3 linked regions of the Bombyx mori genome follow. The protein of the gene in region 1 interacts with the protein of each later gene in a biochemical or structural test. Links are inferred from orthologs where the notes say so. Each region holds a gene or a part of one and is shown on either strand. Other genes may lie near its edges. The genes, in order: tyrosine-protein phosphatase non-receptor type 11, caveolin-3 and parafibromin.

Evidence for each region.
Region 2: the proteins of tyrosine-protein phosphatase non-receptor type 11 (region 1) and caveolin-3 form a complex in vitro, tested with the Homo sapiens proteins (2 studies listed by BioGRID). The link is inferred for Bombyx mori from reciprocal best matches to the Homo sapiens genes PTPN11 and CAV1.
Region 3: of the proteins of tyrosine-protein phosphatase non-receptor type 11 (region 1) and parafibromin, one has a biochemical effect on the other in vitro, tested with the Homo sapiens proteins (2 studies listed by BioGRID and IntAct). The link is inferred for Bombyx mori from reciprocal best matches to the Homo sapiens genes PTPN11 and CDC73.

The regions. Positions count from the first base shown.
Region 1 is NC_085119.1:16,186,212-16,190,452, forward strand, and holds the start of tyrosine-protein phosphatase non-receptor type 11, read right to left. Parts: upstream 2,879-4,241; 5' UTR 2,549-2,878; intron 1,345-2,548; 5' UTR 1,239-1,344; coding exon 1-1,238. Other genes in the region: uncharacterized protein LOC101736406, read right to left, coding at 3,696-3,932, 3,999-4,196. UniProt on the Homo sapiens protein: Acts downstream of various receptor and cytoplasmic protein tyrosine kinases to participate in the signal transduction from the cell surface to the nucleus. Positively regulates MAPK signal transduction pathway. Dephosphorylates GAB1, ARHGAP35 and EGFR.
Region 2 is NC_085111.1:986,480-990,687, reverse strand, and holds the start of caveolin-3, read right to left. Parts: upstream 2,863-4,208; 5' UTR 2,688-2,862; coding exon 2,610-2,687; intron 2,086-2,609; exon of another isoform or gene 1,991-2,085; intron 1,652-1,990; exon of another isoform or gene 1,379-1,651; intron 1-1,378. UniProt on the Homo sapiens protein: May act as a scaffolding protein within caveolar membranes. Forms a stable heterooligomeric complex with CAV2 that targets to lipid rafts and drives caveolae formation. Mediates the recruitment of CAVIN proteins (CAVIN1/2/3/4) to the caveolae.
Region 3 is NC_085121.1:7,757,496-7,761,662, reverse strand, and holds the start of parafibromin, read left to right. Parts: upstream 1-1,300; 5' UTR 1,301-1,515; coding exon 1,516-1,646; intron 1,647-1,725; coding exon 1,726-1,831; intron 1,832-1,911; coding exon 1,912-2,031; intron 2,032-2,147; coding exon 2,148-2,293; intron 2,294-3,408; coding exon 3,409-3,634; intron 3,635-3,861; coding exon 3,862-4,033; intron 4,034-4,167.

The sequences.
Region 1 (4,241 bases):
CAGCCTTGAGTAGCTATGTACGTTTTGTTGTACACGTGTACAGTGGGCACACCGTTTTCGGTTTCGGTCGCTGATTTCGGTATTGTCGTATTGAAATAATTCGGGTTGGGACGAAGAACGCTCGGTTCGAACGCCGGCAGCTTGTGTGTTCCGTTGCCGTGCACCTTCTTACTTGATTTGACCGGCTCTTCAGTTACGATAACGCTTGTATGAACAGGCGATGATTTATCTTTAGCTTTCGACGGCGTACCGTCTTTGCCGTTTTCAGTGCTGCCGTTCCCTGTGAATTCTTGGGAATCGGAAATGGAATCCATACTGTCACATCGAATGTAGTTGGCATTGATGTAATCTGAGCCCGGAGGACCGTCAGGGGGGATGTCCTTTAAAATAACACGCGTGTGATCGAATGGTATAATATTTTTGTATCTGTTTTTCCTAATATTCTCCGGTTTCGAACCCTCCATTCTGTCGAACAACTGCAAGTTCTCCATCATCTGTAACGTTTCGAATTCCTCCCAGAAACCTTGTTTGTAGGCCATGCTCTCGATGGGTCCCTCGTTTTCCTTTTGAAGTTGTTTTACGCGCGTGTGAAAATGTCTTACCTGTATACGTGTAGCGTTGAAGGGTTGGATTAATCTTAGTACCTCACCAGTAGTCTCGACCATGGGAAAACTACGATAGTATTCTATTAGACTTACGAGATCGTCAAACTGTTGCCCCCCACCTACGTCATATTTGTTGTCCTTTCGCCTAATTATCACATGTGTAACTCGATCTCTCGTGCGAACGGACAACACGAAGTCGCCAGGTTGCCTTTGGGATTCGCGAACGAGAAACGACCCGTTTTTTCCGTTTTCCATCATCATTCTCTCTGCTTCCTTGGCAGTGAGCTGCCCGTGGTACCATCGTTCGGTTGTTGGATCTGCACAGTTGAGAGGCGTTTTTAACCTAATTATATTTCCATTTTTTTCTCTTAGCTGGCATTGATTGTCCATATAATATTGGACGAGTTCTGACAGGGTAGCAAATTTTTCACCTCCATAAAGATCGAGAAATTCGCCGTTGTTCTGAATTTTTATATGAGTGACCTCATTTCCTCTTCGGACGGAGAGAGTGAAATCTCCTTTATTACTTGAACTTGGCCTGGCCAGGAAATACCCATCGTGACCGCACTCCATGAGCAATTTTTCCGCGTCCACACCATTCAGCGAGGGGTGGAACCATCTTCGAGTTATCATCTTACACTAATAGAAAGCACCACTTTTGCAACTTACAATACCTTAAATATTAATTCAGTGTTTTTTCTTGTTCACTTCTGAATGCCCGTACATTTTCATCAACCATCTGGAAATAATGAAAACAATACTTAATTATTTTTTCTTCATTTCATAATATAATTTACATTTTAACGTAATTGTTTTGAAAGAGTATTTTGAAAGAGATTATTCCAAGTTATTTCAACATTGGAAATAAACTGTGATAAATTCTGAATGTTTTAACTTATACTGCCAGAAAAGAGTATGATTTAAATTCTTTCAAAGTACTAAAGGCCCATATTAATATAAACATTGTGTATTTATTTATTTAAGTATCTTTGTATGTTTATATTACCTAAATGTTTTTATTGTGTGTATTTGTTTTATAATATCTACTTAGAATATCAGATGCTTTTTAAACTTTTTGGATGTTGTACTCTTTTTCTTTTATTACACATCTTAATTCTTTATGACTGTTACAGATTCCTTGAAGACTTTTTTTAAGTAATAGTACATTGTGCACCAAGGGAGAAAAGTAGGACACTTCCTCCCGCGTGTAAAGTTGCCAAACACGCGGGATGAGTTGTCCTAATTTTTTCCCATGGTGCACATACTATTTTTTCATTGATATTGCTGTAGGTACATGCTAACAGCCCATTTAAGTTGTTACCATTAGACATAAAGTATAAATTCATAATTAGCAGAGTCTCTAGAGTGAGGGTTTGCAGTTTCAGCAACTTAGTATTCAGTAACACCTTTTTTCACTTTGCTAAAAGTATGTGATGTGTGTTCATTAGAGTTAAAAGCTTGGCAAAATATAGTTTTAAACTTACTCTCTAAGCTTTTTCCCTACCTTCCTATTGGGATATATGAATGGTGATAGAACTTTAGATGAATCAGAGAAATGGCTCGTTTTGTTGAATTACGAGATTCATAACCTATTTGGGTATTTTTGCTGAAAACAAAACCAAGTTGTTGGAAACTTAAGTAAAGTTATTGATTTACCACATGTTTTGGTTTCTGTTAGATATCAAGTGGTATTGCATATAGAAAAAATATATTAAATGGAAAATGTTTGCAGATTTGTATATCGCAATATAAATAGAAAAAATAGGCAACAGGATTACAATTCGCTAATTTATTATTGTGTTCTCGACTGGCTTAAAGTGACATATAGCCTTGCACTTATATGTATATATGGCAATGTAACACAAAGGTACATTTCTTTATTCATTTTACGCTTTTTCCTTGTACTAGACTCGCCTATATCGACCACAACACACACTACTCACCTCATAAAGGCACCCGTGATGTACAATCCCGGCGGTATCCCATAATATAATAATTATACGGATCTAAGTACTGTTGCTATGCTGACTTTAGATTTTTTACACACGATTTTCAAGGGCGTATACACTGAATACACTGGCACGGCTCGAATGTTAACCTAATGTTGTAATTAAAAGCATAAACGAACATGAAAATGTGTTATTAAACAAAATAAATCGTAAATTAAATTATTTAGCACGAAAAGCTGAAAATGAATTTTGTTCTTTGAGTTGCCTGGAGAAATGTCAGTCTAGTGATTTTGTAGCCCATTTGTGCCTTGACAAGTTGTCAACAGAATGTCAATCGGTTTTTGAACGAACTTCCAATTTTGTTTCTATACTATTTTATCTATACAAATTAGTTCGAACGTTTAAAATTTATCTTACTATAAATTAATGTGTTAGGTAATTTTAGAAATGAGCTATAACCTAATTTCCAAGCGTTTAATTAATGGACAATAACAAAGCACTTCGTACCAAACGATATATATTTTGTGTTAACATTGCTTTATGATTGATGTAGGTAGGTACTGCAATTATTACTATCGGATGTTTCCCTTATTTTCACTCAAACCGTAGAAAATATACAAAGAATACAACAAAAGGTCTTATACGAAAGATTGTATACAGTTAGTTCATCAGATAGAAGTAAAATAGCCTTGGTCATTATCTTAATTTTTTTTGTATTATCTTTAAGGGTTGAGAAATTTATTTTGTTCGATACTTTAATTTTTGGAATTACATAAAATCCACAAAAGGTGGTTTTTGAGCATTTTCTTAGTGCGTTAAGGACCTTCCTCAATGGAATTAACAAGGACCACAATCATACTACTTGGTTCTTATAACTGTAGTATGTTCTAATGAGTAGTATAAAGAGAAGTTTCAGATATGAATTAAAATTTAGGCATAAGAATATTCGTATATATCTGACAAAGTAAACATTTTGAACGTAAATAATTTTCATACATGATTCATGTCTATCATTTTAAATTACTTGTTTTCAAATTGTTTTAATACATTTTATGTTTTAGTTAAGTGAAATTTACAAATAACGAACTTAGTGATTTAAAATACAACACGATCTGTATAACATTTTTATTTGTGTACATGTTTATTTTTCACCATCCGCCGACGTAACTTTTTGACTTTTGCCAAAGTAAGATGAAATGACCTTTTTTACCGCTAGCCTTTTACTGTGAGATGAATTTTCTCCTGGCGATTTAGGAGACTTGTTCCACGTTTCGGCAAAGCTTTGACGACGAAATACTTTCCCCAAAGATTGCCACTTTTGGTCAGGAGTGATCTCTTTTTCCTCAAAATTATCTTTACTGCCTGAAGGCCGATCACCCTGAAAAATATTTTTTTTAGCAACGGCAAAAATATCTTAACAGATTGTATTAATGCAAATGCTTACCTCATTGGATTTAGTTGAACGTAGTTGATTTCTGAAGAAATTAGAAATCGATTTCTTCCATGTCTTAGGATTTTTATAGGAAGTTAGTTCCAAGCTGTCTGTTCCTTCAGCAGGAACTTTGTTTGGTTTCTTTTGGCAGATATCATTGCTTTTGGATAACGTATCATTTTCAGGCTGAGAGCCTTCTGGGCACAACATTTCCGGTTTTTTTTTCAGTTCTTAATTTTTTCACAATTCAATAAA
Region 2 (4,208 bases), on another chromosome or scaffold:
CACTTTACTGTTTTCAATTTTTTTTATTGCTTAGTAGGGTGGACGAGCTTACGGTCTGGTGTTACCTGGTGTTAAGTGGTTACTGGAGCCCATGGACATCTACAACGTAAATGCGCCACCCACCTTGAGATATAAGTTCTAAGGTCTCAGTATAGTTACAACGGCTACCCCACCCTTCAAATCGAAACGCATTACTGCTTCACGGCAGAAATGGGCAGGGCAGTGGTATCTACCCGTGCGGACACACAAGAGCTCCTACTACCAGTAATATTCCACCAGTACATATTTGTATCGAATACAGAATTTGTGGGTTCCGTTGATTATTCACTAAATCTGATTTTATTAATAATCTTATGGCGTTAGCTTAACATAAAATAATTTTAAACTGGCTATTTGAAGCGATATGCTGTTTCGCTTGATGTAACAAATTAATATCTCTGGTGATTAATATCACTAAAGTATCGTGATTGTATAGCGCATATTAAGAATCCTATAGGATTCAAGGCATTGCTTACAGTATTTAATACTTTTAGGAAAAACGTTTAAATAATTTTAATTTCCAAAGCCAGAGATTTCCAATAGTTAATAAGCTAGTCAAGCTCCGGAAATCCAAAAGGATGTAAAAACAATTCAACCTAAAATAATAATGATTCACTAAGTAAATATATACCTAGAGCGCCTTTACGTAGACGCGTAGCAATAACAATAAAATGGCGTTCTTTTTCGAACTGTTACAAAGTAAACAAAGAATACCAGTCCGGCTAATGACGTCACCTAACGAAGGGCTTTTCATGGTTCGACCTTCATTTTCCATTTGCCACTTAAACAAAATAACATAACACATATCATGAACGGGTTTTTTATTCAGTTGTTTTATGTAAATTTCGCGTCCGGCGCTGAAACACGAATCTATTTTTAAGGGTTGTATTTGCATAACTACAAAAGATGTTATTTGAATATTATGCTCTATAATTATTACCCGTTTTTTTGTAAACTCATAAAGATGAGTAAATTGTTTAAATGGCATGGTCCATGTCAAAAAACTATGCTACATTATAAGCAATAATTTTAACGTCAAATCCTATTAAAATATAATTTAATCTCTTTTAAAACATCTGAAATGGTTCGGGATGGAATGGGTTATTTCTCCAGGAATTCTTCCCTAATACCTATGTTGAGTCTTGGATAGGGAATGCATTAGACACAGGCACTGATATCTCCGTATCATACATTTCTTGGGCGAAATGAATATAAGTCTCTAAGGAGAAATAGCCGTGAAGTTTCGTGGCTCGGCGACATTCTTAGTTTGTTGAATCTAAGCGATTCGGTAGCTAACTAAAGATAAGTAGTGGTCATTGAGAATATCTACCCATTACAGTCTCGATCTTGCGGACCGAATGGCAAACAATCGTCGACGCTCAAAACACGTCATTTCATATCCTTCCCGATCCTCTAACGGTGCTTTTACCCTCAAGCACCGGTTATCGTTCACGTCGAACGTCGAACAAGCGACGACACTTGCGACGAAGGAGCTGGCGAGTAAACTAACCCACAGACACAGCTCACTCAGTTTCTCGCCGGATCTTCTTAGTGGTTCGCGCTTCGCGTGTCCAATCCGGTCGGAGATTCTGCGAAGAACTGCTCTTACTAGGTACAGTGTTGGCAATTTCGCAAAATTAATTTTGAGATTAGGCAGTAATGGTAGTATTGCATCAAATTAAATAGAGCTAACAAATATTTACAATTGAAATAAAACTAATAATTCAAATCGAATCTCGTGTAACGTAATTAGCGAATCATCAAATAAAGTATTTCCGGTGCTAAAGAGCCTCAGTCCTGAGAAGATAGGCTAAAGAGCAGTCTGAACAACTTCAAATATATTCCTATTTAAAATTTAGCAACAATTAAATAAATGTATAAAGTAATTAATGTCAACATACAAATTAAAAATAATGTAATTTAGTGAACTCAGTCCTGGATTGACTTTCAGCTTATGATTACTGGAAACACTTACGAAACGAGAATAAATATACTCATACGGACCGTCACACCGACTCAGATCAATAATAAAACCAAGACTCTAAGGTATAAAAATCTGATTATTATAAAGGGCACATTCGTAGTAACATCCTTAATATTTAAAGGGCTGGTACTAACCCATAGTAGCGCAATTTTAAAATATCGTCATACAACACTTTAGCCTTCGCGACCACAAAGACTGAAAAGTATTTGATACTCGAAACTATTATACAACAATCAAAGCGAGACTAAGTCGTAAGGGTAATAATAAATATGTCTACGACTCGCAAAAAGCAAACAAATACTAACACACTCATAATTCCCTACGTTTTTAAGTACCTTTGTAGACAGACTGCAGACGTCAGGAGCATACAGCCCACCTGACGGTAAGTGGCTACAGTAAGTTATAGACTTCCGCAAGTTTAGGGCATAGCCAAGTCGCTGTCTGCCTTACGTAAAGACGTCTGCAGAGAAGTATTTATAGCTTATGGACACCAATTACCGCTAAACACCAGTTATGCCATTAGTCCATAGGTATGTGCTAGTAAAAAGAACTTATATCGCATCCCAAACAAACAACAGAACGGTACCTGTAAGTGCTGATTCAAGTTGTTAGGATCTCTGTCCTCCAACGCTTCCCTAACTCCACTCTCCGATTTCGCCGTCATTGTCCTAATAGGCGGCGTGATCGTAACCGTCTCCAGTATTTCGGTGAGCTCCGGTTCGGTCCGGTCCGGTATGGGTGTCGGTATGAGTACCGGCGGAGCGGAAGCCGGTTCAGCTATGTTCGGCAACAGCTTGGCTTTGTGAGCGCACGCTATACACTGACGGGACGTCGAGCGAGAGAAAGGGACGGCGGAACCGCCGGATCCCAACGGTACGTCTTCATACGCCACGTCGCCGGGTGTGAACGCACCTCTCGCGATATTTTTCAGTTTTTTTTATTGGTTACTTTTTTGGTTTTAAGTTAAAGTATAGCTTTAATATCGTCATCCAAGTTTAAATCAAAATTGAAGGCATACTCTAAAAGCTATAATTAATTTTTGCCATTTATTACACTATTTTAGAAAACTTTAATGAAAGTTAGGGTTTTCCAAAAGTTGAATTTACAGTTATATAGTTTACATTAGAAATATGAGTTAAGAAAAAAAAAAGTTTCCGGTCTACGAATTTTAGAAATTTAAGTCTTCTTAAACCAAACAAAAACTTAAAAATTCAATTCGAACTTTACAAGCAAAAACTTTGTTTAAGCTTAACCACCGACACAACTTTCCAAATGCTCACTATTTTACATAACTAAAAACATTTCCTTCTACAACGTCATATGTCATGCGCATGTCAGTTCTTCTATGACAATAGTTATCGTTAGACGTAGGTATAAATACCCGATATAAATTAAAAACGCGATAGTAGCTATTATTAGTGCTTTTTATAGATTGGCGTTTATTTTGAATGGCTAAAGAGCTTTCGTGGAGCAATTTAGTGCTGACGAGGCGTTTTATGCATTAATTGTGCTTTGTGCGAGTTTTTAACGTTCTCGATAGCGTAAAAGTTAACTCAAATTTGTATGCAGTTGGAACAGCGCCCCTAGCGGCAAACGTAGTCAAACGTTCCAACTCCATACAAATTTGAGTTAGCTTTTATGCTATCAAGGACGTTAAAAATCTCGCACTAAGCACAACTGTAACTATATTTGAGACCTTAGAACTTATATCTCAAGGTGGGTGGTGCATTTACGTCGTAGATGTGTATGGGCTCCAGTAACCACTTAACACCAGGTGGGCTTTGAGCTCGTCCAACCATCTAAGCAATAAAAGTCCAGCAGTTAGAAATGATAGTCAACAAAGCTCTGTGGCAAACGGTAAGGATAGGTGGAGAAAATCAGTGAAAAAACTATAGAAAAGTCACGTTCCTCAACAAAGAGAAACCGATTGAGAAGTAGTGTTTTTGTGAGCCTACATCATCGTTCTACATATCAAGGCCGCGATGTAGTCGTGACGCGTGTTTTAGTTTTGAAAGGTCATGCAGCGGTTATTCAATACAATTGAGATTTCGGCCTCATGTCTCAAGGTGGGAGATTGAATTCACCTTATGATCTTTATGAGTTCCAGTAACGACTTAACATCACATAACAATACCATAAAAAAGTTCTGTTTAGTCTTCCGGGTCATCTGTTTTGAAATTGTGAA
Region 3 (4,167 bases), on another chromosome or scaffold:
GTTAAGTGGTTACTGGAGCCCATAGACATCCACAGCGTAAATGTGCCACCCACCTTGAGATATAAGTTCTAAGGTCTCAAGTATAGTTACAACGGCTGCCCCACCCTTCAGACCGAAACGCATTACTGCTTCACGGCAGAAATAAGCGGGGTGGTGGTACCCACCCGTGCGGACTCACAAGAGTAATTACCACCTAGAGAGTAAGTACCTACCACCAGTAATTACGCAAATTTATAATTTTGCGGGTTTGATTTTTATTACACTATGTTATTCCTTCACCGTGAAAGTCAATCGTGAACATTTGTTGAGTACGTATTTCATAAGAAAAATTGGTACCCACCTGAGATTCGAACACCGGTGTATCACTCAACACGAACGCACCGGACGTCTTATCCGTTAGGCCACCACGTCGATGACTTCAAAGTAAATTATACTATTATAGTATTTTAATACAATGATAGGTTTGTGGCACTGTTTTAAAATATTTCCAGTTGCTAGTATGGCGCTACCATAATTCATTCCCTTTCAGCTGACACATTTTCACATATTGAGATGGCACTCCTTACTTCTACCCTCCATAGTCGTGGCCGAAAGGATATGCATTCGTGTCTTGCGATGCACCGGTGTTCGAATCCTGCAGGCACCAGGCACCAATTTTTCTAATGAAATAATTACATAACAAATGCGTAATTACTAGTGGTAGGAAATCTTGTGAGTCCACACGAAACTTAAAAAAAAACTATTATTTGCCTATAAATTGCCTATAAAAAAATCCCTATTTTTGGCGTGAAGCAGTAATGCGTTTCGGTTTGAAGGATAGAGCAACCGTTGCACTGTAAAAACTAAGACCTAAGAACTCATATCTCAAGGTAGGTGGCAGCGTTTACGTTATAGATATCTATGGAGTCCAGTGACCACTTAACTTCAGGTGCGCCTTAAGCTCGTTCACCCACCTAAGTGGGTAAGCTAAAATTTGGACATTGGCGGGAACACGTGAAGCGTACTTCTGGTTTAAATGTGTAATAACGGTGGTTTATTAACTGTTTAGCATCTGTGAAAGTGCATAGATGTAAAATAATGAAACGAAGCAGCTTGTCGTAGCTTCTCGAGTTCTTTCAATAATTCCATTGAAAAATTCTTAGTAAATGACCACTGTTTTACTGACACTATATTTTGGCCTTATATAATTTCATTTCATTTGATTTCATTCCAAATTATTAATGGCTCAAATTAATCAACTTCATTTCATTTCCTTCCAAATAATTTTTAAAAAGACACATACGAAAGATAAGGCTGTATGGTTTGATACCTACGCCTTTTCAGCTAGAAAAATGGAACTACTATTTTAGAAATGTTCACCATGGATGTTCAATGTGTTTCGTTTTCTGTTTATCCCGGTTAGTTTTTTAGGCCGGGGTGTAAAGTTACTTACAGTATATTTAATAGAATTGGTGTCATTATTTTTACTTGACTAGTCCGAGAGAAAATAAACATAAAGTTGAGTGTGAAGTTATCATGGCGGACCCACTCAGTTTACTTCGTCAGTATAACGTAAATAAAAGAGAAATAATTGAACGCGATAACCAAATAATATTCGGTGAATTCTCTTGGCCAAAAAATGTTAAGACAAACTATCTTATTTGGAGGTAAGTACTTTGTGTTATTATTGGAAAATAAACTTTGAAAATGTTGAGCCTTATTGTACCCATTTATGCAATTTTTTAGATCTGGAAAGGAAGGCAGCGTTAAAGAGTATTACACCTTGGAATGCCTTCTTTTTATTCTCAAGAACATTCACCTGACTCATCCAGTATATGTCAGGCAGGCTGCTGTAAGTGAAGTTTAGTTATAAATAAAACATGTATGGTTGATGTTCCACATAACACATTATTGATCTCAAAAAAATTTTAGGCTGCAAATATACCACCTGTGCGTCGTCCAGATCGTAAAGAGCTATTAGCATATCTAAATGGAGAGACTGCTACTTGTGCCTCTATTGATAAAAGTGCACCCCTTGAAATTCCGACTCAAGTGAGTAAGAAAGTTTATAAATAACACTTTCACTAGACTAGACTGTAGGACCAATTAATGTGAATTTTATTCCCATTTATTGATTGAAGTTATTAAGTGATTAAACTACTACATAGGTGAAACGCACACTTGATAATGATGGAGGAGAATCTGCTGCAAAAAAACCTCGAATTGAGGAAACTCATGTTCAGAAGGTCCGAGAACAACTGGCAGCCAGGCTTGATGCCCCTAAGGAAGCTTCAGTCACAGTGGACAATATCAAGTAATTCATCCAATTTATAATAATATTAATTTTTTTAATTTTATATCACTTAGCTGAACCTACTATTATACAAAATATATCAGGTGTACATTCTCAATGAGTTAGTAGTTTCATCATGTGCAAAAATGTGCAATTCCTATTACTTTAATGGAAATGAGCTTTAACAATAAAGACAAATCAAATATGTATACATAATTTGTCCAATCATATTGTACTACGAATTTAGACTATAAAATTAGGGGCCAGAAGCTTTAATGGAATTAATTATGCCATTAGTTTGCAAACAGTATGAAGCATGAAAGAATAACATAAATATCTTAATAATTAATAAGATGCTATGAGGTCAGTTATCAGTAAAAACTAGTTTTATTTGTGGCCAGTGGCCACTGAACCATTTTGGTGATTTTGTTGCATTCAGCTAAAATAATCGACAAAAAAATAATAGGTTTACTTCAGGTTGTTTTAATTGTTTTTATCAGTCTTCTGTATGTTGAAAAATTACATTTGTTGTTCACGGAAGGTGGCCAAAGGTCCAAGTAGTGTGTAGTCTATTTGCCTTAACAGAACAGGAACTATGGTCGTTTTCTTGCAATTTTATGGGTCATTGTCATTGCCTCTAGGCATTTTTTATTATTAACAAAATGTAGTGTGATAACATAAATTCACCTAGACTTTGTGAATTATATCTAAGAACTGTATATCATCATTCATCATGAAGTACTCCAAATTCAGTGTTCCAAGATCTCTTAAAATTTGTACATGTATAGGTTTTATCACAATAAAACTCGTGTAGTTCTTTAATCATAAATATACTTAAGAAGACCAAGTCTAAAGTACCTTGTGGCTCTCGATGAAATTTAGAAAATGAATTTAAAAAAAATCTTTAGTTCTAAGCAAACAATTTGGGTATTTGTCTTTTTTTCTATATCAATAATCTTTAATTACCCCTTCTCTAATCTTTTTGATTTAAAAGATGATCCACACCACACAGTCACCACATCAAATATTCGATATCTAAATAGGTGTAAACATATGTATAAATATCAATATGTACAGAAAATAAATAAATTATAAGTGTTTTCTCTTCTAATTGAGTAATTGTTTCCAATTTTTAGATCCCTTTCTGAAGCTATGTCTGTAGAAAAAATTGCAGCAATCAAAGCAAAACGATTAGCTAAGAAAAGAACCACAATCAAAAGCAATGACTATTCTGATACATTGGGTGTAGTCGGTTCAGACTTAAGAGCCATTCTTGACTATGATGTGGATCTTACTAAAGATATCATCAGCCGAGAAAGGCAGTGGCGGACAAGAACAACAGTATTACAAAGTAATGGGAAAGTAAGTAGACAGCTAAGTATTTATAATTACAAAATATACATCTTTAAAATTCTCCACTTAGCACATGTGAGAAGTGTTGTAATTAGATACGTCTGCATAATACAAATTGATTACTCTTGAATTTTCATTACATTCATGCGTCATTATAGATCTATTATAAGACAATTTAATAATTGATGGTGTTATCTTTAAAATTATAATATATTAAATGAAATTGAATATTGTAGATGTTTGCTAAAAGCATATTAGCTCATTTGGCGAGCATCAAAGCTAGAGAAGAAGGTAGACCTGGGATTCCGAGAGCACAACCTGTTATTTTGCAACAGCCTACTGTATTACCTGCACAACAGACACAGTATAACAGATACGATCAGGAAAGATTTATACGTCAAAAGGAAGGTTTGTAGAGTATACAGAGTCTGTATTTTAGTTTTGTCTTTTCTGGCATGAAGTAGTCATGTGCGTTTTATGGATGGTAACTTATTGAATTGGTTATTGAAACAACTGCAAATTTGGCTTCCGATAGATCACTA